Linked DNA regions of Danio rerio. The main gene of each other region encodes a partner of the protein of the gene in region 4 in a complex. Links are inferred from orthologs where the notes say so. Each region holds a gene or a part of one and is shown on either strand. Other genes may lie near its edges. The genes, in order: mybl2b, lin52, mybl1, e2f4, tfdp1a, rbl1 and lin54.

What was found.
Region 1: e2f4 (region 4) and mybl2b share a complex: the UniProt entries of both Homo sapiens proteins name them as parts of the DREAM complex. The link is inferred for Danio rerio from reciprocal best matches to the Homo sapiens genes E2F4 and MYBL2.
Region 2: e2f4 (region 4) and lin52 share a complex: the UniProt entries of both Homo sapiens proteins name them as parts of the DREAM complex. The link is inferred for Danio rerio from reciprocal best matches to the Homo sapiens genes E2F4 and LIN52.
Region 3: e2f4 (region 4) and mybl1 share a complex: the UniProt entries of both Homo sapiens proteins name them as parts of the DREAM complex. The link is inferred for Danio rerio from reciprocal best matches to the Homo sapiens genes E2F4 and MYBL1.
Region 5: e2f4 (region 4) and tfdp1a share a complex: the UniProt entries of both Homo sapiens proteins name them as parts of the DREAM complex. The link is inferred for Danio rerio from reciprocal best matches to the Homo sapiens genes E2F4 and TFDP1.
Region 6: e2f4 (region 4) and rbl1 share a complex: the UniProt entries of both Homo sapiens proteins name them as parts of the DREAM complex. The link is inferred for Danio rerio from reciprocal best matches to the Homo sapiens genes E2F4 and RBL1.
Region 7: e2f4 (region 4) and lin54 share a complex: the UniProt entries of both Homo sapiens proteins name them as parts of the DREAM complex. The link is inferred for Danio rerio from reciprocal best matches to the Homo sapiens genes E2F4 and LIN54.

What each region holds. Positions count from the first base shown.
Region 1 is NC_133186.1:1,640,500-1,643,999, forward strand, and holds part of mybl2b (v-myb avian myeloblastosis viral oncogene homolog-like 2b), read left to right. Parts: intron 1-1,346; coding exon 1,347-1,619; exon of another isoform or gene 1,620-2,040; intron 2,041-2,101; exon of another isoform or gene 2,102-3,387; intron 3,388-3,500. UniProt on the Homo sapiens protein: Transcription factor involved in the regulation of cell survival, proliferation, and differentiation. Transactivates the expression of the CLU gene.
Region 2 is NC_133192.1:33,276,441-33,280,469, reverse strand, and holds the start of lin52 (protein lin-52 homolog), read left to right. Parts: upstream 1-1,229; 5' UTR 1,230-1,241; coding exon 1,242-1,260; intron 1,261-1,848; coding exon 1,849-1,923; intron 1,924-2,082; coding exon 2,083-2,120; intron 2,121-2,196; coding exon 2,197-2,263; intron 2,264-3,190; coding exon 3,191-3,274; intron 3,275-4,029.
Region 3 is NC_133199.1:27,725,927-27,729,426, forward strand, and holds part of mybl1 (myb-related protein A), read left to right. Parts: intron 1-1,340; coding exon 1,341-1,556; intron 1,557-2,549; coding exon 2,550-2,903; intron 2,904-3,287; coding exon 3,288-3,427; intron 3,428-3,500. UniProt on the Homo sapiens protein: Transcription factor that specifically recognizes the sequence 5'-YAAC[GT]G-3'.
Region 4 is NC_133200.1:18,358,789-18,362,866, forward strand, and holds the start of e2f4 (transcription factor E2F4), read left to right. Parts: upstream 1-1,278; 5' UTR 1,279-1,588; coding exon 1,589-1,744; intron 1,745-2,715; coding exon 2,716-2,825; intron 2,826-4,078. UniProt on the Homo sapiens protein: Transcription activator that binds DNA cooperatively with DP proteins through the E2 recognition site, 5'-TTTC[CG]CGC-3' found in the promoter region of a number of genes whose products are involved in cell cycle regulation or in DNA replication.
Region 5 is NC_133184.1:36,646,188-36,649,687, reverse strand, and holds part of tfdp1a (transcription factor Dp-1a), read right to left. Parts: intron 2,458-3,500; 5' UTR 2,385-2,457; coding exon 2,373-2,384; intron 2,299-2,372; coding exon 2,232-2,298; intron 2,103-2,231; coding exon 1,999-2,102; intron 1-1,998. UniProt on the Homo sapiens protein: Can stimulate E2F-dependent transcription.
Region 6 is NC_133181.1:54,202,606-54,206,105, reverse strand, and holds part of rbl1 (retinoblastoma-like protein 1), read left to right. Parts: intron 1-622; coding exon 623-799; exon of another isoform or gene 800-953; intron 954-1,925; exon of another isoform or gene 1,926-2,288; coding exon 2,289-2,360; intron 2,361-2,503; coding exon 2,504-2,588; intron 2,589-3,500. UniProt on the Homo sapiens protein: Key regulator of entry into cell division. Directly involved in heterochromatin formation by maintaining overall chromatin structure and, in particular, that of constitutive heterochromatin by stabilizing histone methylation.
Region 7 is NC_133185.1:12,008,842-12,012,855, reverse strand, and holds the start of lin54 (protein lin-54 homolog), read left to right. Parts: upstream 1-1,214; 5' UTR 1,215-1,473; exon of another isoform or gene 1,474-3,065; intron 3,066-4,014. UniProt on the Homo sapiens protein: Component of the DREAM complex, a multiprotein complex that can both act as a transcription activator or repressor depending on the context. In G0 phase, the complex binds to more than 800 promoters and is required for repression of E2F target genes.

The DNA.
Region 1 (3,500 bases), on a different chromosome or scaffold from region 4:
CCACGATGGTGTTATCAAGACGTTCAGAAAGAGGAAAACAATAGTGTGAGACTGATAACGGCAGCCAGAAGAGAGAATCATGTTGAATGTTGTTACTGTCCTGCCGCTATAGATTCTGCATTACCCCTACTGCTCATGCGAGGGATGCGTGTCACGATTTCGATTTTTAATTGAAATTTATGCTCAATTTCGATTATCGAATCAAAAAATAGAATCGTCGATGCTGCCACGCCCCCATGTCACATCAGATTGGCTTGCCAAGCGGGAAAAAAACAGGCTTGTTGAAGAGCTTGTTGAACTGCAGATACAGGAGACCCGTCGACAGAGCTTAAACCCTCTCCTCTTTCAATGAAGTCGCCGGTGTTTAAGCATTTTGGATTTCCAGTGAGTTATGTTGACAACGTTCGTGTTGTCAACAAAAAAAACACAGTTTTGCAAGCTCTGCTATGTACGTATTACGTACGGTTCGTCCGATAGACAACACCGGCATCGCGATCCTCCGCCCGCCCCCGTTGCAAATCCGCTGGCGAAAAGTTCACACTCAGGCCCTGTTTACACTGGCTTTGTTTTTAAATGGCATTTTAGAACAACAACGATTTGACATCCACAGTGGCGTGTAGCATTTCTGAGCAGCCCTCCTTCCTCTCTACCTCTGAAAATGCACATCACGTGACCACACAGACGCACACGCAGCCATGCGCTCGAGACTGCAGGTCCAGGCAGTCAGAGGACTGCTTCAATCTTTCACTCACTTGTACTCAGTCATTTTAGCGAACACCTCAGATACTGTTGGCTGGTTCCTGTTGGTTGTGCGTCTTTTTTACCGACGCCATTATAACGACACAGATCACTGCCTATTCACGAGTCCCGCAGAAAAAGTGATTGACAGGTGGTAATTATGTGTGTATCTTGCCTTTATTCATTTACTGTATGATTTGTTTATGGGTAAAACAAAGACCATGCAGGTCAGGTAGTTTAAACGGTAGGCTACCAATAATTAATTGGTCATTAATTAATTATTCATAATCGAAAATCGAATCGAATCGTGACTTTAGAATCGAAAATGTAATCGAATCGAATATTTGGAGGATCGTGACACCCTTAATGAGCTGTAATTCGTTTTTTGCAATTGAATACAAAGATGATACTATACATATAAATGTTCCCGTTTAAAAAAAAAAAAGTAAAAACTTTCAAGGATTTAGGATGCCGATGAGCGTCTTGTGAAAAGGGTCTAATGCAAGTGCACACACTGCAAAATCGATGCGTAAATGATATATTGTGCAGCCCTACTTCATGGGACTATTAAGTGTGTGTTGGACTGATCAGAGTGTGTGTGTGCGCAGGATCTGGAGGGCTGGTGTACCATGTCGGACTTCGACCTGCCGGAGGAGAGCCAGAGCTCGGAGCTGCTGCAGTTTCGTCTGGAGGGCAGTGCACTGCAGGAGCTCAGCAAGGGCAGTAAAGGAGAGCTGATCCCCATCTCGCCCGGCGGAGCCACTCCTCCATCCATCCTGAGTCGCCGCAGCCGTCGACGCATCGCCCTCTCGCCAGACCCCAATGACTCTATGACCCCAAAGAGCACGCCGGTCAAGATCCTGCCCTTTTCCCCCTCACAGGTGGGAAAACGCAACACAACACTAGCCATGTTTCCATCCAAAGATGCAAATTAAATGTATGCGCAAAACTGGAGTATGGCATAAAAGATTTAAGAATAAAGCAGCGTTTCCATCCAACGAGTCTAAGATAACAAAATCATCACTTCCTCATAAACTGCCGCCAAATATCAAAAGAAAAACAGAAGTTACAGTGTTGGGCTTTTTTTTCAGGGTTCCCACTGGTCCTTAATAAGTCTTAAAATGTCTTAAATTAAAATCCGGGAAATTAAGGTCTTAAATTGTCTTAAATTTTACCGTAAAGTGGCTGTAGATATTAAACTTTCAGCCGGTGTGCTTAATGACAATAGGGAAGCACAGTGGTCCACGGTAAAACATCTAATAGTTGATTAATTCAGCACTTGTAAAACTACAAAGTATAGACGCTTGCGTTGGTCTGCACCTGCGTGCTGTTATTATGCAGTTGTTGATGTGTCAATGCAAAGATGGGAAATTGTACATTTAACAACGTGGCAAAGAGGCAATGTGTAAATTCTGCAAAAAGACTTTTTCGTTAGGGACCATGGGGCTCAAAGTCGTCGAGTTGCACATGAAAGGAGGAAAGCAGCAGCGGGACGTTGCAGCAGCTAGTCATAGCAGGTCCAGGTTAATCCCTGCATTGTTTGCAGCTCGACCTAACAAAGTTACTAGTTACTAATGTTAGGCCTATAGCCAATGTTATGAATAAGTAATGTTAACCCATATAAACGACTCATTCATGAAAAAAGACAAAAGAGCTGTGTGCCTGTGCACATTTGGATAATGTCGGACTCCAAACAGGTTTGGGCTTTTAAAAGCTGTCAATCAAAATGTACCTGTGGGGTTCGGGCTCTATCGGGCCTAACTTTTATATCATGATTACAGCTCTAGTTCAGACGCCCCTTCACAGTCAGCTATAACAGTTTTATTTCACCACCAGACACCCAAAAGGCTGGTACTGCGGGTTATCCATACTGTGACGAGGCACAATTTATTTAAATCTAACGAGAACATTAAAATGAGTAGCTTATTCCAAAGAGATTATACAATTTTTGGGTCTTATATTATATTTGTTGAGGTCTTTAAAAATGTCTTAAAAAGCATTAAATTGTACTTTTAAAATAGTGCAAGAACCCTGTTTTTGTATATAATAATTTACTTCCGTCTTAGAACACGTAGACGAAACCCACTGAGCGCAGTAATGTTATCTTGCTTTTGGAGGCAGGATATCATCTTCAGATATCATCTCTATCATCACTGCTTTTTCGTATTTAACATTTAAAACCTTTCAGAGCTCATCATCCACCTAAACATACATGCCACTTTCCGCCATTTTTATCATCACATGATCTGTTGAAACAAAATCACATGAATTTTTTTTGTGTGCTGGAATTTATTCGTTTCCATTGTAGTTAATGCAGATTTTTTTATATCAGATAAAGTTTATCCTTCTCGGTTGTGTGCAGAATCTTTTTATGCAATGTATGCACATCTTGGCTTTTTCATTCAGTTTTTTTTTTGCGATTAATCCAAAGAGTGCATTAAAAATAGGTGGATGGACACACAGTGGCGCCCCCTGAGAAACTTTTCTTAGGGGTGGCCAAGTAAGACCACACCAAATCTTGGGATGGCTCACAAAAAAAAAAAATAATGAGTTGTGTATGTACTGTGAATGAGTAATGTTATATTTTTGTTTCTGGTAAATTAAATAATGAAGTTTTAATTAATTCCATTAAATACTCTTGTAACATTGTAATTTATTCCTTGAAATAATTCAGCAAGTACACGAGCAAACCAAATAATTATCAATATTTAGTTTAAAGACACCTTTCAGGCAAGTTATTTTTTACATGCTTTTATTGCACA
Region 2 (4,029 bases), on a different chromosome or scaffold from region 4:
TTCTTCAACCAGTTTTACAATACCATCCCTTTTTTAATGTCTTTTAAATGGGCCTTTTCGTATAATGCTATGTACAAAGCATTTGAAAATGGGTTGATCAAAGTAATAATGCTACAGTGAATGAATGATGTTTCTTTAGTGTTTTAAAATAAATAAAATGAACACTCTGTTAAAAATATTGATATGATACGTTAAAATGTGCTGAAACTAGACTTGTTTATGTTTACCAATAATTTTTATTTTTGGTCTATTTATAATTACTGCCTTTTTTGTAGCTGTACAGAAGTTTGTTCTGCTGTGTTTTTTGGCCTGACTGAGTCTTGAGTCTTATATTATATTAACACTATCATAATACTACTCAAGTACTCTGTATGAAAGCTAAACATATTAATGTTCGCATATTATTCATATATATTTTTACTTATTTTGCAAGAAAGAACGTTATCAAAGACACAGTTTAAACAAATAGACAGAAATGAATTCATAATTAAAATTCCAGCAAATTAAACAAGTTTAAATGATTTACACCAAGAAAGTGTTTTACATGCAATATAACTGTTAGGGTCTTTTAAAGAGTTCACATATAAAGTAATTTCTTAAAATAAAAAAGTAGGGTGTTTCTTTGAAAATTTACATTTATCGATGTAAATTTTAGGGGGGGGGAAACAATTAATTACAAATTTACAAGAATTCAGAAAGTATCTAAAGAATATAATTTTTTGTGGGAAATACAAAAGTTTGGAAATAATACAATTTTTGTGAAATTGGAAAAGTCAACCCAAATGACTTTACAATAAGTGCACTCCCAAAATAGGCCAAAAAGATTTAGTGTTTCACCATATTGAGTACAAAATGAGCATTTGAAGGAAATATTGTTATTAAATTTACCTAGTTTGTTGTTTATTGGGTAGCAATTATGAATGATTCTGATTGAGACTTCAACAGCTTTATTAGATAAAAATATGTATTTTTTCCGAATACCATCCAAGATCAATATCAAGAAAAGGCCATTAAAGACCATTAAAGAGATCAGAGAACTGTTAACAATAAAGAGAATCACTTTGTTTGACATAGAACTGAGAAGAGTTTGGTCAACAAAAAGGTTTGTGCTGTCAATAATATTTATATTCATATTTTTCAGTCAATTATTGCGACATCATTTTACAACATAAGAGGGTGTGGCTATTTTATCCAAGACCTCCAGTGATTGGCTGCTTAGAATCACGTGTGTTGTTGTCAAGATGGCGTCTCCGAATGGAGGTAAATTTTAATTCCTCTTTTCCCTGGCAGCGTTAGTTGTTAACGCAATAGTGCAACGGACTAATTAAGTCATATAAATCATTATGCGGTTTAGCATATTTTTTATAAAGAACTGATGGATTCTGAATCAAAATAAGCTTTTCAGTCGGAATAGCGTCATAAAATTGTTTGGAGCCAGTCATTAGCAAAGCTACGTGTCAGACGACATCAGTTGTGTAGTAATAATTTAATACGAATGTAATAGTGTAGTAAATACGCGAAGACATATTACTTTTGGTGTGTCGTGATTTTATCTTTAACGTTAGTTATGTAACTCATTATTTTGTGACAAGATTACTCAATGCAGCTAGCTCAGCTTTGAGTAACTTAGCAGCTGAGTAAACATAATATCTCTGTCATAACATCAGCTTAATTTTACACCTTGAATAATATGTGACAGAAGATTTTTTTTTGTAACGTCATCTAAGCTGAGTTATGTTAAAATTGAAATTGTGTATATTTAACATTTTTTATTGTACTTCAGGTTTATTGATCCTGTTGCTGATGAGTTTTCTCTGACCATAGAGCATTTATCTTTTTAATGTGTAGGTGAGGACTTTGAATCTTCTCTGATAAGTTTAGAAAATCTTGACCGGGCTTCACCTGACCTGTGGCCAGAGCAGTGTAAGTTTGACTCTCTAATCTTATTCAGTTGGACTAATATTTATGACACATTAACATATTTTTCCAAATATATGTAAAAAAAAATGCACTGATTGAAATATAGAAATTACATTTGATTATTACACATTGTCATATTTTTGAACGCTTTGTTTTTAACAGTGCCGGGTGTGTCAGAATTTGCAGCATCCTTTAAAAATGTGAGTAAATATTCAAATGATAATGAATACTTTTCAAAGTTGATGTGAAATTAAGGCTTGGTTTTTGTTATTTCAGCCTATTACAAATTCTCCACCCAAATGGATGGCTGAACTGGAGTCAGAGGATATTGAAATGTTGAAAGGTCTGCCTTTTTTAAAGTAGTATTCATATCAAGTCTTTTAATGTATCATTTAGTCTTTTATCTATGCTTTCTATATATTGCTTAGTAGAATAGGTTAATAATAGTTAGATGAGTTGCTTGGTGAATTCCAGGGTGTCCGCGCGGTCTTAAAAAGTCGTAAAATGTCTTAAACCTCAAAATTACATTTTTATGTCTTAAATTTACTGAAATATTGTGTTGTAGTTCCTAAATGTTAAATTAAATTTTTTTTAAATTAGGTCTTAATTTTCCTTTGTTTATGTATCGCTACGCAGTCTGGCCATTAGTCCTATACGATCACCAACAATTCATCTCAATAAAACCTTTTATATAAAAAGGTGATTTTTAACTCTGTTTACCATAACAGTTTTATTATTTTCCTCAAAATACATAATATTTGTTAAAAAGTGTTCCATGTATTTGCTGCTGAGGACACCGACCTGGACAGATTGTTTTGCATAGATTTAGTTATATTAAAACTTTAAAAACATTAATTCATTTTTTATTGTAAAGAAAGTTTATGTTGGAAAAATAAAGTGTATGTATACAAGTAGAGCTTGTTTGTTTTTAAACAATATTTGAATATTTTTATAAAAAATATCTAAAATATTTATTTTTTTATTATTAAATTATAATTGTATTATTAATATATAATCGTTTTTTGATGGGGCAAATGAAAAATCTTTTCCATCTGGGCCATATGAAAAATTCCTTAGCGATTAGTCCTTTATGAGTCTAAAATTTCATTCATAAGGGTCTTGAAAATGTCTTGAAGTCTTAAATTTAACTTTGTGAAACCTGCAGAAACCCTGGAATTTATAAAAGCTACAGTATAATATTTTGTTTCGGTTCTGGTCCATTTTTATTTTATTTTTTGTAACTTGTTTGTTGTGGCTTTTTTTTTTTTAGAATTAGGAAGTTTGACCACAGCAAATTTGATGGAAAAGGTGAAGGGTCTGCAGAATCTGGCTTACCAGTTGGGCTTGGAGGAGTGTAAGTAATGTCTTACTCAACTCAGAAATAGTGCATTAGTTCACACTGTTTATCTAGTTACGGTATATTGTAAGTCATCCACTAGATGGCGATATTAGAAAAAGAATAAAACTTACTGACAAACACAAACCCAGCTTTTAATACATAAAGACATTTTTCATGTTTTTTGCCGCTGTGATATTTAGGATAGAGTTAAAAAGACAATACAACAAATAATTCATTATATGTAGTCTGGAGCCTAAATCCATCTGAATCCTTGTGTGGAAAAAACACTTATTTGTTATGTTCTATTCGTTTATTTCAGTCTGTAAGTCTCAAATGAATTCCCACTCTATATTTAAACAGAACTGGCTTGTTGCCCAGTGTCTCTGTAATATTATATCACAGAATTGCTAGATGTAGCATTAATCCACGCAGGCAGGATTACAGGAAAGATAAGTGTTTCAGTTATTTTCTAGATGAAAATGGGCATCGAAACATCGCACAATTTGAAAGCGAGTACTGCAGACCATTGGTGAACACTCGTTTCAGATGTATTACATTCCTTCTGCTGATTTGACCTTTGTGTGGCATGTCCCTCAGAAAGCCCTCAACAAACTATGCTTCAATGAGAAAAATCAGTCAAATGCTTTTCTGTCTACTTGATTTTTACTCTACTATTTTGAATAATTTCCATAATGTTACAGAGAGAGGATAAAAAAAGCATCAGTTAATTTAAATAATTCAAAGATATGCATTTATATTGATTTAAAATT
Region 3 (3,500 bases), on a different chromosome or scaffold from region 4:
CTCTCTCTCTCTCTCTCTCTCTCTCTCTCTCTCTCTCTCTATATATATATATATATATATATATATATATATATATATATATATATATATTAGGGGAGGGGAAGAAAAAAAACAATGCATTTTAATTCTTACTTTAACAATTCTAAATTAATTCTCAAAAATTTCTAATCGATTCTGTATTCAAATTAGATTGCGATGGTGCAGGGATGTGCTCTAAACAGAAGTGTTGACAAGCACATATACGTATGCTACTGAATTCACTTGATTTGGACTGATGGATAATTACAGGCGAGACGCAGCTCTTCTGATCCGTTGATCAACCAATAATTGTGAGAGCTAATTACATAATAAATGTACATTTAATTTTTCTCCTATTATCCATAATTTCACTTAACGTTATAATCAAATAAAAGCATTTTTTTTGGAATGAGGACTCTTTGTTCTTTATAATTGCTCTTTGTGATCTGGTGTTTTTATCTTGAAATTTTAATAAAGAATAATTCTTTAATAAAAGAAATAAATGTTTAATAAAATAAAACAATTTTGATGACTTGATGTACTGTCACACAGAGATTCCAATCAATAATCAAAAGCATGGAAACTGTAATTCTGGTTAAAATGACATAAAATTTTACAAATATTTGTAAAAATAAAAAAATGTTTGGTTAAGAATCTTTTAGGAATCGGCTCATGACCTCCAGAATCGGATTGTGCTCAGAGATTCCCACCCCCAATATTATATAATTAATATATATTATTATTATGGCATCACAGTGGCACAGTGGGTAGCACAATGCTTCACAGCAATAAGGTCGCTGGTTCGAGCCTGGCTGGGTCAGTGGGCATTTCTGTGTGAAGTTTGCATGTTCTCCCCGTGTTTGCGTGGGTTTCCTCTGGGTGCTCCGGTTTCCCCAACAGTCCAAAGACATGCGGTACAGGTGAATTGGGTAGGCTAAATTGTCCGCAGTGTATGAGTGTGTTTGTGAATGTGTGTGTGGATGTTTCCCAGAGATGGGTTGCTGCTGGAAGAGCATCCGCTGCGTAAAAACTTGCTAGATAAGTTGGCGGTTCATTCTGCTGTGGCGACCCCAGATTAATAAAGGGACTAAGCCGACAAGAAAATGAATGAATGAACGAAAAACATCTTAACATTATAGCATATAATCTCAAAGTAATATGCAGCATCGATATCATGACTGAATTAATGTAGACTTATTGATTCTGTGATTTTATTTATTGTTTTATTCAGTTGAACTTTCCCTTCCACTTCATCTTTTGGTCATTTCATGTGTTTTATCTCACTCTTTTCCTCACTGACGTCGATGATTGTTCCTCTGCAGAATCCAGAGAGCTACTCGAGCTGGTCAGACAGTCTGCCTGATGACAGTGTGGAGAGTGTGGAGGACAGAGGTGTAGAGGATGGCCGCTCCGTCTCCATACCTCTGCCTGTCTCTCCGAGCAAGTTTCTGGCTGCTGAAGCCAGTGCTGTTCTGTCCACACTAGAGACCATCCCTGAGTTTGCAGAGACCATGGAGCTCATTGACTCGGTAAGCAGAGTACGTAAAGATACACTTTCTGTGTTCTAAATAAACTGATCAGGTTATAGGAAGTTTGTAGTTTTTAACTAGTTTTTAACTAGTTTATTCTGCTTTTCTGATAATAAGAGTGATATTTAAGTGTCATTAGTAATTTGGTTGTGTTTTAGATATTTTTATTTTAATATCATCTGTATAAAATGTCAATTTAGCTTTATGTCAATAATAGTTTTTAATTAACCAAGATTTGTCAAGTCAGTTTTATGGTTTTAGTTTAAGATGACAAGAATAACCCTGGTCAATAATCAAGTGTGCAATGTAAAGAAATCCATTAAGTACAGAATGTAAATGAATTGTTTTAGAAACTGCCTTTGTTTTTGGATGTCGTGTACTCTCCACTCTTAAATGAATGTAAAACTGTATAAAATTAGATATGTTATTGATTATATATTCTTATTTTTAATTAATTAATTTATTTTACTTTTTATGTACTAGTTGATTACTGTACTAAGAGATCTAAGCCAGGGTAGCACCATATTTAAATTTTGGAAGAAGGAAATTAGGTTATGAGCAATATTAGTCCATTGTGTTCAACTGATTGATCAGATTAAGAAATATCCCTCTGAAAAAAAACAAGTTTGAAAGTTATGATTTGTGAAAATGTATCATTGACAGCCTTATTTTTACCTGTGTTTAAACTAAATATGGGGTTTAACAAGACTAGGACTAAGACTACGTGTTTAGACTACACTGTAAAAAATGCTGGGTTCCACACTATCGATTTGAGTTGGGACAACATGAAGGAATTAAGTTAACATTTACGTTTTTACAAATTAAGTTGTTTGAACATTAAACAATCAAGTTCTCCTCCCAAAGAAACTCAGGAATTGCGTTGTTTCAGCTCATTTTAAATAAGTAGTTTGAAACAAACTTAATTCTTTGAGTGTAAAAAAATCTTATCAACTATGCAGATTTTGAATTGTGGCAATATAAATGTGTTTTTTGATGCTGTAGGATCCTCTGGCCTGGAGTGATGTCACTAGTTTTGATCTCTCAGAGAGCGGCCCCTCTCCGAAGCCTACAAACCCCGCTGATGTCTGTACAGAAACCCTGGCCTTCCCAATAAATGCTCCTACCGTCCAGACAATGACCAGACCATGTGCTGCGGTCAGCCAGGGCAAGTCTGGGACTCTTCCCAACACCTGCATGAACAGATTCAGCTCTCCACCAACCTCCATCTGCAGAAAGAAGAGAAGAGAGGGAGGAGATCAGTCTCCTGCTGAAGAAAGAAGCTGCTCTTATATTGACAACAGTGGGAACTCTCCAAAACACACTCCTGTTAAAGGCCTGCCGTTTTCACCTTCTCAGGTACAAAACAAAATCATAAACTAAAGCACCTATTATAGAGTACAGAGAACCAAAATGTTTTTTTTTTCCATTTTTTTAAGCGGTTAGTTGGATATTTCTCAAAAGCAGTAAACCGTTTATTCTGTATTCCAGTGATTAGGTGTTTTCAGATATGTAAAGAGATATTTATAGAGGTGATTTCTACACATGCACCTAAAATTTAGTACTCACTGATCATTTTTTTATTATAGTTATTTTAGTTATATTCGTTTATTATATCAAATTGAATCGTAAGCCTGTACATCTGTATCGAATCAAATTAGGACTTGATTAGGACACAATCAAGGACTGAATCAATACCCAGACCTAGTGGATTCATTCAATGTTTTTTTTTTTTTTTTCCAGTTTTTTAATGTATCTGGTGGCGAGCCCTTGAGCCTCGACAATCCTGCTCTCACGTCAACTCCAGTGTGTGGACAGAAATGCCTCCTCAACACACCGCATCAGAAAGAGACCACACCAAAACACCAGAAGGAGAATGCAGGGTCAGGGCTCATTCTTCAGCTTTGCTGCTGCTGTTTGAGAAATTTGAGATAACCGTGGTCTGAATCAAGAAAT
Region 4 (4,078 bases):
AGTGTAGTTATGTCATTTGCATGGTCAAGATGAGGGTTTGTACAAATGTGTATGTGCCTATACTTATTTTAGATGTTTAAATATCTATCGGTTTATCCATCTGTCAGTCTCAATGTTTCTCTTTCTCTCTCTCTTTGTCCATCCATCAGTGCATCTATTTCTGATCTATGTCAGTCATTCTTTCAGTAAATCTGCTTGTCTGTGGATCCATCCATTCATCTGTCCGTCTATCTATCTATATCTGTCAGTCTCATTGCTTCTCTTTCTCTCTCTCTTTGTCCATCCATCAGTTTATCTATCTATCTATCTATCTATCTATCTATCTATCTATCTATCTATCTATCTATCTATCTATCTATCTATCTATCTATCTATCATCTATCTATCTATCTATCTATCTATCTATCTATCTATCTATCTATCTATCTATCTATCTATCTATCTATCTATCTGTCTTTGCATTCAACTGTCTGTCTATCTATCTATCTATCTATCTATCTATCTATCTATCTATCTATCTATCTATCTATCTATCTATCTATCTATCTATCTATCTATCTATCTATCTGTCTTTGCATTCAACTGTCTGTCTGTCTATCTGTCTATCTATCTATCTATCTATCTATCTATCTATCTATCTATCTATCTATCTATCTATCTATCTATCTATCTATCTATCTATCTATCTATCTATCTGTCTTTGCATTCAACTGTCTGTCTATCTGTCTATCTATCTATCTATCTATCTATCTATCTATCTATCTATCTATCTATCTATCTATCTATCTATCTATCTATCTATCTATCTATCTATCATCTTTGCATTTAACTGTCTGTCTATCTATCTATCTATCTATCTATCTATCTATCTATCTATCTATCTATCTATCTATCTATCTATCTATCTATCTATCTATCTATCTATCTATCTATCTATCTATCTATCTATCTATCTATCTATCTGTCCGTCCGTTTGTCCGTCCGTCCGTCCATTTAGTGATAAAACAATCAGGCAAAATAAAAATTGATGTAAAATGCAACAAAAAACAGCAAATATATTGTTTTAATTATATTAAGGGTCAATTATTCAAATACGACAACATCTGTGAATAGAAAACTTTGCATTTTTCAATTTAGCACACGACAAAGAGAAAAACCGGTGTCTGTAGCCCCCACATGGTCGTTTCAGTTCAACGACGCCGCTTTTATCGCCCCCCTCAGGCCGCTTTACGCAATGCAGGAACCCTCCAATTTTTTTATCAGGTCATCCCATGATGCACTGCGCCTTCAACGGCTTCAGTCATTCAAGCAGCTCAGCGCTGGTGCTCGTAAGACCTCCTGTTCTGTTAGGCCATCTGGGTTGGGGTGATCCGTGTCCCAAACCGGACCAGACCCCGAACAGCGGTCGCAGCTCTGTCATTTTGTGGACAACTTTCCCGTCCATGGTTCGCAAATCGCCGGTCGTTGACGGGAAGCGAGCGTTTACGCGGCAGGAGCGGTGCTGTCAGCGATATAGCAAGCAGAAAGCGTTATTTATGCAACCATAAACACAACTGCGGGGATTTATTAATACTTCAACATCATCCTGATGGATTTAGAAACCGGAAGAAACGACCTGGGAGCGATGGGAGAGTCGCTGCAGCCGCAGACCCCCAGTCGCCACGAGAAAAGTCTCGGACTGCTCACCACCAAATTTGTGACTCTACTGCAGGAAGCGAAGGACGGAGTGCTGGATCTGAAAGCTGTAAGCACGACATCAGCTCATCACCATCACCATCACCTATACATCTGTACAATATCACACACGCGCTCGCGAGACACACAGCGCATGCACCGCGTTTATCTTTTAAAATGTGCATGAATACAGATAAACTGCAGATCTTGTAAAAGTTGCCTGAAAGTTGCTTTGCTAAGGGAGGAGGGGGTCGCGTGCACGCACATCCCCTCACTCAACTCCCACGACAATACACTAGCTCATTTACTAAATTAGACTAGTCAGCTAACAAGTTGCAAATGTAATGTCACTGCAGTCGGCAGTTCTATAATCCGCTCCGGTGTTTGTTGTTGTACGCCGGAGTTTATTTGCGGTGGAAAAGTAGTTTCCATCCGGGCTGAAAACTCAAACAAAAGCCTTCAAAACAAGCACGTGCTCTGGAGTTTTGGGAAATTTAGGCCTATGCAAATGGTGGAGTTGCAAAGCATGCTTTAGAGTTTAAACCTGGTTTTTGTATGTATAAATATATTATAATGCAAATATGTTGTTTTGAAATGTCCTATGTTGTTTGGAGTTTAGATTTGCGCAGGCGCTACTCGAAGTGGACCGCATCTAGTTCGGTTGCTTGTCAAATCTGATTTTTTTATCTCTTAGATTAGTTACGGTACATTTTAAAGAAATTAGCATTTTGTCTATATTTTCACTCTCATATTTGTTCCGAACATTAGTTTTTAGTGGGACCACTAAAAGAGATGTTAGGCTGAATGACAGCCTCGGTCACCATTCACTTTCTTTACACTGAGTTAAGATGCACTTCTAGTGAATGGTGACCAGACAAGTCTTTCACAATATGACTAACATTTAAAAAGTCGCATGAACATTTGTAAATGATCAAGTGTTTTTAAGTCAACTGTTGTGTTTAGGATTGCGTATATAAAACATTTTCAATATGCAATAAAAACTTTATATTTAATCATCTGTTCTGTTGGATGTGGTTTTAGGCTGCAGATACTTTGGCTGTAAGGCAGAAACGGCGCATCTATGACATCACCAATGTTTTGGAAGGGATTGGACTCATCGAGAAGAAATCCAAAAACAGCATCCAGTGGAAGTAAGATGCAGAAGCTTTCATGTGGACATATCGTCACCTTAGAACTATAAGGTTCTATCTGCCATTTTTGTCAAAATTAAGTTATTGACATATTCTTATTAAATGACAACTTATTTACATTATGGGATATTTTTGTTGTTGTTTACATTTTAATACTTTTAATAAAAATAAAAACGCGTAGATAGAACCTTATAATTCCAAGGTGACAATATACTGACTCCTATATTTGTTGGTCACTCCTCTATTAGCTTTTTGCATCAATATATTTATATATTTTAGTAGGCTCCTAACAAACATGAGACAATAAAAGTTTTTAAGGTTAACTGTGGTTAATTAGGTTAATTATGTAGTCTGGCATGTTTACTGCTAGAAAATATTATACATTTTTCTCAAAATAAAATATTTTGTGCTCAAAGGTAAAAAAGTTGGGGCCCCATAACATTGTATTGAAATATTAGAAAATATATTTTTGTGATAAATATTGCAATATAAATACAGTTTTACCAGATGGTTTGAATTCTCTACTTGACTTTTTTATAGTCTAATAAGTGTTTAGGTACTGAAATTCGGTAATCACAATGTAAATTACTTGGGGTTGCCTTGTTTCTAGTCCACATATCTAAAAACATAGATTTATTTTCACTTTCAGAAATAATAAGTCAAAATTAAGTGAGATTTTCCTTTAAACAAGCTAATTAATCTGCCAGTGTGGTAAGCAAAATAATGATTATTGTGGATACACACATTGCTATATCGATGCTGAAACGATTTATTGTGCAGGCCTACTTCCAATTTCAAAGAACCTGAGCTGTCTTTTTTTTCTGTTGTGTAATTTTAATGTTAATTATGCAAAAATATGCTGCTTTTTAAGATTTATTTTGATATGGTCAGTGGTTTTTATTCAAACATGTCTGCTTATTATTGCATAGCTACGGAGATTTTATCATTGTTAAAAAATGTGCTGTTTGGTTTCGCATTCAATTCACAAAAGTGACGTTGTTTTAATAGAAAGTAGAGCTGGATGATATGGCAAAAATGCTGTCACGATATTTAAATTCTACATTAAACGATAACTATATTAAAACAAGTTGTTAATGCTTCCACTTTTAAAAAGAGTATCCTAAAAATGACTGAAGACGGATACTGCAGGCAGGAAAGTGAACTGCTGGTGGGAAAGTGAAACGAGAGTGCTAAACAATACTGGGTGACTCAGCAGGACCTATTTCCAGCCGATAATTTTCGGCGACCAAAAC
Region 5 (3,500 bases), on a different chromosome or scaffold from region 4:
GTTATTGTTTAATTATTAATGACTTTTTCCAATTGATGATTTATGCATGAGCATGTTCATTAAAGAAAAAAAAAGGTTATGTTTAATTTTTCCAAACCTGACACAGATGAAATCTCAGATTTGAACCTATGAATTCAGACTTTGAAAACAGCTGGTTTAGGTTCCTCACTCCATTAGGATATTACAAATTGCTTTATGTGGATTAAAAAAAAACTATAAACCAAACATAACCATTCTTGAAAATCAGTCAGCCTAACCTGTCAAATCAGGAGATGGTGTGTGTTTAGCATAATGCAGAACACAAGCAGTGTCTAAGGGTTTTTCCCCCCTGCCTTTTACTATGACCAGGAATACAATCAGCCAGTGCAGTCCATAGTAAAAAGTGACATTTTTTGTCTGCCGGTTTGTTTACTTGAGGGAATTCCATTGACATTTTCCTGCACATTAATACGGACCAATCGAAAAGCAGTTTAGGAAATTTGTTCAATAATATCTGGCCAATGAGTGATGTGGATAGTCACATGACTGCATTTTAGTTCTTTTCAACTGGTTGAGACAAAAGCAATCAGTGTGGTGTGAAAAGGAATCAAAAACAGACAAAAAAAAAAAAAAAAGTTACAATGTGTCATTTGTTGCCCTTAATCTGGACCAAATGAACCAAACCACAGATGTGAAAGCACCCTAAAGGCTCCTATACACCGGGACGCTTTTCGTTTGCGTTTATCGTCAGCGTTTTAAGAGACGTTTTTCCGTATTCAAAGCCAAGCAATTTTTACTGGCGTCAAGCAGAAGAGTATGCAAAATCACCATATGCAAAAGAGCAAAAAGCAGCTAAACGTTCATATATAGCCTCTGGACATCTTCTTTAATGTGCGCTCGCATTGACAATTTTGCGCTTGAGAGCCTCCAAGTGCTGTTTACTGTAACTTCAGCAGCTCCGTGCACTTGAACAAAAGTGCTGATCTGATTGGTGGAGAAAGTTATTCAATCAAAGTTCTTTTGCAGTGTAAACATTCATGTGGTCAAATGGGTTTAACAAGACACAAAAGATCACCTGCTTTCAAACCATGTTATATACCTAAGATGCTTCCCAAATTGCATACTTATGCACTATTCTACGCTATTTTGTAGTATAAATAGTGCGTTCACACTGAAAACTCTAAAAATAATAAGTGCACTTTAATTACCCGGATGATGCACTCATTCAGCTGGTAAAATGAAGTGTTTAATGATGGACACTTCACGCACTCAACGACCGCAGGTTTGCTTATGTAGTAGAAGGGGCGGAGTTATCGGACGCACATGTTGGATAACTTTTTTTATTTTGGATGGTGAAAGCAAAATTCTCATACGAGATTGGTTATAGCGCCTCCCGATGGTGAATGCGGCAATACTCACGGCAGGTATTACTTGATAATTCGGCCGTTTATTTAACTTATTTAGCAACCGTCAAACGTCATTAGGGAAACGGTTTGAATTTCCGCTTAGTAAAAAAACATTAGTGTGCCATTTGGGACAACACTACATACATGTACTATCCTGTTGAGTGTGTAAGTTCATAAGTACATAGTGCATGAGTGCATAGTGTGCCATTTAGGACGAAGCTCTAGTCTCCAACCTTGTGATCTTTTTGAGGCATGTTGTGAAGAAATATCACCAAAACAAAGTATTCATATTTTGTTGCACCAAATCACAGATTACAATTGTAGTTTCCATCCATATTCTTTTCATTTGGCTTCTTTCCTGTTCTCTCCCTAAGTTACGAAACAAGGTTTTTTCAAGAGTATTAATGCAGCACACAGATCACTCCAGAGAAAATGATTCAGAACATAACAAAATGAAAAGGTCTTCAAGGAAATGGTAAGGCATCCCAGCTCTCTACAATGTCTATAGCAATTATGACAACCTGATTAAATCTGAAATACACACTTAATTCACAAATAGAACGATTAACACTAGTATGATTTATAGATGCAGTGTTTATGTGACCAAACTCACCATATGTGGTGCAATGTTCACGTTGGAAGGGCCCAGTGTTTTTGGCAACAGCTGTTTTCCAACAGTCAAAGCCTGTGGATGCACCGTTACTAAAGACAGCACACCTGCAGGGGTAGAAGAATACACAGAAGACTTCTAAACGTAGTGCTATGTAAGGTCAAGCAGGTGTCTGTGATTTTGCATAGCATTTTTGCAAGATCTTAAATATAATTCTTCAGAAAGCCTCTTCTTACCTTTGCCAGGGCTCAAGTTTTGATCAATGAAAACCTTCAACTCCCCATTGGCCTCAATCAGACCAGCCTGCGGAGAACGAGATAACCCTCAATGATCATTCTTAGTAGATGACATCTAATAGAGCAACAGAAAATACTCACATCTTTGGCCATGATCCCTGGGGCTGAGGAATTGATGCTTGGTCTAGCTTAAAAACCTGAGCCAAATTTCCACAACAAAACGTCACTGCAAAAAAAAAAAAACGAAAACTGGTTTGGCACAAGAACCGAGGACACTTGAAGACTGTAACCAAGGTTACTACACAAATCTTTGTGTCTCATAATGAAAGTGACTAATGAGGAATGTTTTCAATCGCCACAACAGCCAAAAGTTGCAGTGATCAATGGAATTCATTCTCTTAAAGATGGTTTGTCGATTATGAACAGAGGTTCAGACAGATATGGCAGATCTGTCTAAATTTTCTGTAAGCAAGACCAAAGCAGAAGACAGTACATCCCAAAAGCCATGTTCACAATAAATGGTACAAAATAATAGGGCTGGGCAATTTACCCTAAAATCAAAATCTCAATGAATTGAACATTAACTCGATTAAGATTAAGGAACGATTTTTTTTTTATTTTTTTTTTTGCCCTCATAGCTCAGACAAGTTTTGTACAACAAATGTTCACATATTACCAGTGAAAGATTTTTAAATAAAAGGGTGCATTATTCATTCATTCATTTATTTTCTTTTTGGCTTAGTCCCTTTATTAATCAGAAGTCGCCACAGCGGAATGAACCGCCAACTTATCCAGCATATGTTTTACGCAAGGAGGGGAAAAATTATTTATTGAACATTAATGTTAAACAACTGAGTGAAATCCCCACCACCTACGCTTGTCACTGCTTTCAAACTGACCAATCCCAAAGCCTGCGCTACATGTCGTCACAACATGTAGTTACATTTATTGAGAGGTGCGCTGGACCATACGTATAAGTATACATCAGCCTTAACAGAGCAGGGTCATGCGACTCCACATGCGTTAGGGAAAGTAATTGGGGAAAAAAACAGCCTGGAAAAATTAGAAACATTTATGTTTATGTTTATGAATGTAGATTTAGATTAATTTATAATTAATCACCCATCCCAACAGAATAATATGAATTGATTATGTTGACGCATCTAAATTTCATCACAGGGATATAACTAGGCATCAAAAGAGGGTTTTAATTTAAAAGGGTTAACATATTTAGGGTGTGTTCACATTTGTAGTTCAGATCTCTTGGTT
Region 6 (3,500 bases), on a different chromosome or scaffold from region 4:
TTTGTGTTTTTTTGTGGTTTTAATGTGAATTTGTTTTCTGATGATACTATGGATACACGGCTAATATTTTTGATCAGGTCCTGCCATATAAAGATTTGTTATGGGGAACATATCAACGATCGAAAATCTCTTGAGGGGGGATTCTGGATACATATAAATAAAAGCACCACAATTAAATTAAAACATTACTTCTCGACCACTTTCCCCAGTATGAAGGAATTTTATAGGATTGTGGTCTTAAGGAAAGTGTCAGTACTGCCCTATTTATTAGTTACATTTTTAATTTTTATTTATTTAATTTTTTTTTTTTTTGTTATTCTTAATGTTTTTTGTTTTGTTTTTTAAGTACACATGAAATCAAAACTAACCATATTGAGTTAGTTAGCTCACATTGCTAGTTTTGTGGTGAACAATTCATCTGTGCATGTTGTTAGGAAAATTTTTTTTGCTATATACAAATATATATTTGATATACAGAAATATATTAGCAATTCTTAATCATGCAAGTATAGAGAAAAACAGTTTTCAAAAAAAAAATCTTATTCCCCAGCAGAGCCTTAATTTAAATATGGGTCTTATTGTCTTATTTCAAGTGCATATGTTCTGTTGCTACTCCTTTCAGGTGTATCATTTAGCCAGTGTGCGTCTGCGAGACCTGTGTCTGAAGCTGGATATCTCCTCAGAGCTAAGAGGGAAGATCTGGACGTGTTTTGAGCACTCTCTCCTGCACTGCACTGACCTGATGAAGGACAGACACCTGGACCAGCTGCTGCTTTGTGCTGTTTACATCATATCAAGGGTACAGATTTTAAATGCAGTAAAACATTAATATTTTTAAACATTGGTCGAAAGTTTTATTGTAATGTCTTGCTGTTTAATTGTTTATTTATTAATTCAATGGTTTTGCTATGAAAATAACCATTGTTGTTGCTATGATAATAAGGGTTGTAACGGTATGAATTTTTCACGGTATGATAATCTTCTAAAACAATACCACGGTTTGACGGTTTCACGGTATACGGTATACGGTATGTTACAAATGTTACAAAATAATAGAACAGTGAAGCAAATTTGACTTTTTCCAAATAATATATTTTTAGTTACTATAAACAACACCACTTACAATGAACAAATAAAAATAAGAAAATAATAAATAATGTGTCAAAGTCCAAATAAAGTCCAAATAAACATGGTGCAAATCCTTAGTAAAAAATAGATATAAATATTTACTATACTATAAATAGTTACATAACGAAACTAGATTCAATATGGAACATCCTTAGGTTTTATGTGCCAGCGTGGATATGGATGTGGTTGTATGCAATGCAGACAAACAGCTGCATCTTCATTTGCGTCTTTTGAAAACAGCAAGAGCAACAGTTTGTCTTTGCTGTGTCACTGTTTTGTCATGTTTCTGTGCTGCTGTGCATGCAAAAGTACTTAGTATGAGAATTATTTCATGCAAAACTTTTTTTTTTTGCGTTTTATTTAGCCGCGCATAAATGTATGCCTTTCTCTCATTCCGTGTTGTTCAAAAAGCTTGGTCCACAAACAAAAGCGAAACCTATGCTTATTGGTTGTGATATAGCGAGTTTGAACCAATCTGGGCATGGAGGAGGGACAATGCATCAATGTATCATGTCTGATTTGTCCGGAGACACAGTGACGAGCGTTTCTTTGTCAAATCAGCGTTGTCAAATGTTGATGACGTAACCGCACTGATTCCGGAGCCTCTGAAAGTCCGTGAATGTTATCAGCGGATCAAAAGTTATTAAACATTTAAGAGCAATGCTTATTTTTAGCCGCGGGCGGCTGTCTCGGTCTTTAAGGGTTAAAACCGTTGATATGCAATTGTTCATGGTATGATAATCGTGCACGTTCAAATCGTGGTAAACCGTCATACCGGTATATTGTTACAACCCTAGACATGACATGATATAATATGATGTATTAGTAAAAATCTAAAGGAATGTTATGAATATTTATAAACAAAATACTGCATTTTTGGCATAATTACAGCATCATGTTATTGTTCAGGAATAGTTTTAATATGCTTATTTGTTGCTCAAGAAAACCTTTATTGGTTTAATTTTAAAAACCATGTTGCTGTCTATTATTTTGGTCTTGTGTTTTTTAAATGCCAATATTTTATATAACACATTTTATTAATGCATTGTTTCTAATTAAAAACATTCATCACTTTGATAAATGAAAAAATTTATGAATAAAATGTATATAAATTACAATTTTACATTAAAAATCATTTAAATTGTGACATTTTTTTGCAGATCACGAAAGAAGAGCACACTTTTCAGGACATTATGAAATGCTACCGAACACAACCACAGGCCAACAGTCATGTGAGTATCAACTCTTAGTCTTTCTAAATGGCATAGAAATGCTTTAATGCACACAAGTGTCGAAAATCTTGTAATTTTAGCTGAAAGGAAGCACAACTCAGTCTTTGATATACCCACATCAACCATGTTTTGTGTGTTTGTAGGTGTACCGCAGTGTTTTAATAAAGAGGCGTCCCAAAGTGCAGCAGGCTGACGAGAACATGGAAGTCGATCCTCCAGCAGACCAGTGTAAGGACGATACAGACAAACGCATCTGTCTTTTAAAAAATAAATAAATAGTTCACAGTATAGTGCATTAGCATTCAAATATTTGGAGCCAGTTAGATGGGGTTTTTTAGATGTTAGATGGTATGTTTTTTAGTTGTAAGGACATGTTAAATTTAATAAAAGTGTCCTTCCTGTCACCTTGGAATAATGATGAAAAAGATTATTTGCATAAATTGCTATTTGTCCATCAAAGAATCATGAGGAAAATCTTTCATGATTTCCACGCAAATATTTTAGTTGCGCAGCTGTCTTGAATTTCACCAATAACAAGAAGTGTTTCTTGAGCACCAAACTCAGCATATTACAATAATTTCTGAAAGATTATGTGAGGGCTGAATGCTTAATTTGCATCAAAGGAATAAATAATGTTTTAACTATTCAATTCATCTTTATTTTTCTAGTGCTTTTACAATGTAGATTGTATCAAAGCAGCTTCACATAGAAGATTATAGTAAATTGAAACTCTTGTCAGTTCAGTTTTTGACTATATTTGTTCTCTTTAAAAGGGAAATACTTGGCTAATATGTTGCTTAGAATTATATTAGACAAATACAAGTGTTTTAATTTATTCTTATTTTAATTTTTTTATTCATTGTTCTGTCAATTATTTTCATTATAAATTATTACTTTTCACTTATTTTTAAGTCCAAAGAGAAATGGACTATTGTTTGTTTTTGTATTATTATTATTATTATTATTATTATTATTATGTGCTGTATTACTCTGGTTACTGAGCAGCAATAGATAACACTTTTCACAAATCACAAATTTGATTTTTCTAAAAAGTTTTAAAATCAATGAACGCATATTAATCGTGATACCCGTGATTATTCCTCAGACTATAATTGTACAACCAACATCTATAGTCATTGC
Region 7 (4,014 bases), on a different chromosome or scaffold from region 4:
TTCTCTCCGTGTTGGCGTGGGTTTTTTTTCGGGTGCTCCAGTTTCCCCCACAGTCCAAATACGTTCTGTGGGTGAATTGGTCGTGGTGTATGGGTGTGACTGCAAGAGTGTGTGGGTGTTTCCCAGTGTTGGGTTGCGGCTAAAGAGCATCTGCTGCGTAAAACATATGCTGGATAAGTTGGCGATTCATTCCGCTGTGGCCACCTTAGATTAATAAAACGTGAATGAATAATAAAAAATAAATGAATTCAATTCAATTCAATTCAGCTTTATTTGTATAGCGCTTTTACAATGTAGATTGTGTCAAAGCAGCTTCACATAAATGGTCATAGTAACTGGAACAGTGTGGTTCAGGTTTTAGTGTAATAGAAAATTTACAATAATATAATATAATATAATATAATATAATATAATATAATATAATATAATATAATATAATATAATATATAAAAATATATAAATAGATATGTGGCGCAGTGGGTAGCAAAATCGCCTTACAGCAAGAAAGTTGCTGGTTTGAGCCTCGGCTGGGTCAGTTCTAAAATAATTATCATAATATTCCAAGTAAAAATCCATTCTTTTGCTTTTTTATTGAAGAGTTGAATAATGAAAATTCAAATGAATTAGTTAATTAGAAAACTAATTTTAGACGCAAAATTCTAAAATTAATTAATTGTAATATGTATTAAAATTATTAATATAAACACTTTAAAGACACTTGAAGAGTGTTCTCTTACAATTCCCAAATTTGTAAACTTTTGTTGTTGTAAACATTTTGTAATGTACAAATAATTCATTTAAATAACTAAGAAAATTGTGCAATTCAGATAACGATTTAGATAAACAGGAAAAATAACAATTATGAACATCAGTAAAAATATATATTTTTAATTATGCGCAATGCAAAAATTACAGTCATGGTACATACAAAGAATAAAGTTAGAAGCAAAACAATAATATACAAAGGAGCTACATTCATAAAGCACTACTGGGATAATAATAAACAATTTAAAAACTTCAGTTGTTTTAACGTCATTTTTGTCACAGAATTAGAATTAGTCTTAAAATAATGTTGCATTTCAGTAGGAAAAATATAAAAGAAGAGTTTCTGGTTTGTAAATTTGCATTTGTGTATATGAAATATTAAGAATACAACAGTAAAAAATCTGCGCGGAAGTTGTGTTGTGACGTCATGTGTTGTTTCCTACGAAGGCGTGGTTTGATTATGGGATGTTAGAGGTGAAATGGCGCTCGGCGCGGTATTTTAAACAATCGTCTTCGTCTGAGAGCGGATGATCGACAGGATGCAGCCCCGAGTTGGACCGAGCAGGTCGTGATCGAGCAGAAAACGTTGTGGATTTCAGAAGAGCGTCTCGACACTCATCTCGACCCCGTGTAGGAGTGCTTTGGGCTCGGGTGGGTGTTCAGCGAGGGGCAATATGATCTCCGCTAGTTAGCAGAGCTGCTAACACTGTATGTATATATATGTGTGAGTGTGTATGTGCGCGTCAGCTGATGTCCGTCCGCGAACTGCCTCAACCGCGCGTCACACACACAGCTGCGCTCGCGAATAATCGCTGCTAATAATTGCTCATCTTCTGCAACATAGACAAAACTCATATGAAGCTTTATAAAGGGCTGATGCGTTGCAGGAGTTAATAGTGGCTAACTGATTAGCACCCTAGGCTTTACCTGCCAGAGAATGACAGCAAGCTGCGCCTGTCATTTTAGTCTTGCGGAGAGCTGTTGCTTAGCAAAATTATTAAATGTCTGTAAATATAGAGAGGTTTTCATTTCTTGTATGCGTGTAATAGTACATCTATTTGTATCATTAATTAAAACATCAGGAATTACATAGTTCAGATCATACGTTTTGTATGAATTAAGATGTATTTGGTAACACTTAACGGTTGCCAAATGTTTTATTTGTCAATATTAGATAACAAAATATTTTTGAGCAATTTCTTTATCTTTGTTAACGTAACGTCAACAAATACGACTTTTGCATTTGAACATGTATTAGTAAGTATCAAGGTTAAGTTGGGTTTTATATTCGTACACGTATAAATATGACTACGTTAACATTAGCATTAGTTTATTTGACTGTGGACATTGTTGTATTCTGATAGCCATCGTCTGCTAATATGGTTAAACTATTTGGAATTTGCAGAAAATAACTTTATGAAAGTCTGAATGTGTGAATATAAAACCAACTTTACCTTAATGCAAATGTCATCTAATGGAACTGAACTAGTATCATCAGTAATCATCAGTCCAACTGTATCATTACTAATTAAATAAGCAAACGACTATTATCTAAGGCTAATAAACGCTAAATAATGCAAGTTATTGCTCTTTAGCATTAACAAATAAAATACTTTTGTGGACCACACCTCTCACTAAATTGTTTGAGTGTACATAGATGTAATTGTACACTTTAGGATATATAAAGTGTAATAATAGCATGCGTTAAGATAAAGAGAACATTGTAATGAGTTTTACCCTTGTTCAAAACCTGCATGACTGACTTTTCTTCTTCTACAAAGAATGACGTCATTTTTCACGGAATAGAAAAATATGCATTGAGAGTGAATGGCAAGGATGTCATTCAGATTACCATCATGCTATGTTGTTCCAGTGAAGAAAAACCTATGAGGGTTTTGAACGAAAATTAACAATTAATATTTCTAAGTCTCAAAACGAATACAGTGACGGTCCTTTGTACTTCTAACTCATTCTTTAAGCTCAAACTCTGACAAAACAACAAATCCTGTTGTTTTTTCCTCTTGTCCTGCGACTGTTTCTGTTATGTCTGAACTGATGACGAGATGAAAATGGCGGATCTTTCGAAATCCAAGCCCGGCCTGAAATAGACACGCAGCCCGCTTAACTCCTTTTAACAGGACTCCGTTCTGGAGACAAACATCCCTATCTGCAAAAACTCTTGAATATACGCGTACACATGAATATTTTAATGGCATCAGTATAGACAGGAAAGCAGACGCGTCGAATACCAACAAACTCCGTCAGATGTGAAACTGACAGGCTTGTTTTTAACTGTTGAGGTAAATAATTATACACACATTTATATTCTCAGGCATGCACAAAGAGGCTTATTGTTGTTTAACTGTGTATAAAACCCGTGTAAAACTGGTAAAACGTTTAGCGATTAAACGCATACATAGAAGTGCATTTCTGAGTTGTGTTTTTAAACCACTATTTTGTGAAACGTTTTTTCCAGCCACTGTCATTGTTTACCGATTGATAGTTTTCTGAAGCAAACTCTGGCTAGTTCATGTTAGTTGTTGCGGCTGTTTTATGTATTACTGTGTGTTAACTGCTGGTTAGCCGCTGTGCTAGTTAGCCACATAGCAGCCGAACATAAACAGATCGCCTGCTCTGGATGCGACGCGACACAACTTGTCGCGTCGCTCGTGTTGAGCAGTGTTTACTAAATATTAGGAATTTGAGTGGTCTACTTGACTAGTTAACCAACTAGTAACGTTAGTGTTATGTGATATTGATGCTGATGTGAATTATATCATGAGACCTGTTATTCAGAGGGCAAAAAAGAAGTTATGTAGTTTAAATGCATGACTATTGTTATATTCTCCATATGTAATATTAACAAAATATCTATTTTAAGTGTAGTACATTTACAGTAAACAGAGTGGTGATGTTTAATATTACATCTCATAAACTGCAGTAGTGCTGAACTTTTTTTGAGGTTGCTATGGGTGTAAATGTTATTGATTCATTCTCAGATTGTGGTTATTTGAGGTAACATTGTAAATAATGGAATCAAGCAGTGTTTGTTAGACAAATAAACACCACTGATGATTTAAGATGCACAATGGTTGAAAATGCTTAATTTATTTTGTTATAATCACAGTTAATGCCACAGAACAAGGAAATGCATTTTTCTGTGAAGACAGAAAGAAGAAAATAAAAGTAAACTAAAGGTCTTTTTAAATGTATATTTACATTACAGTATTTTAAACCAAAATGAAAGTT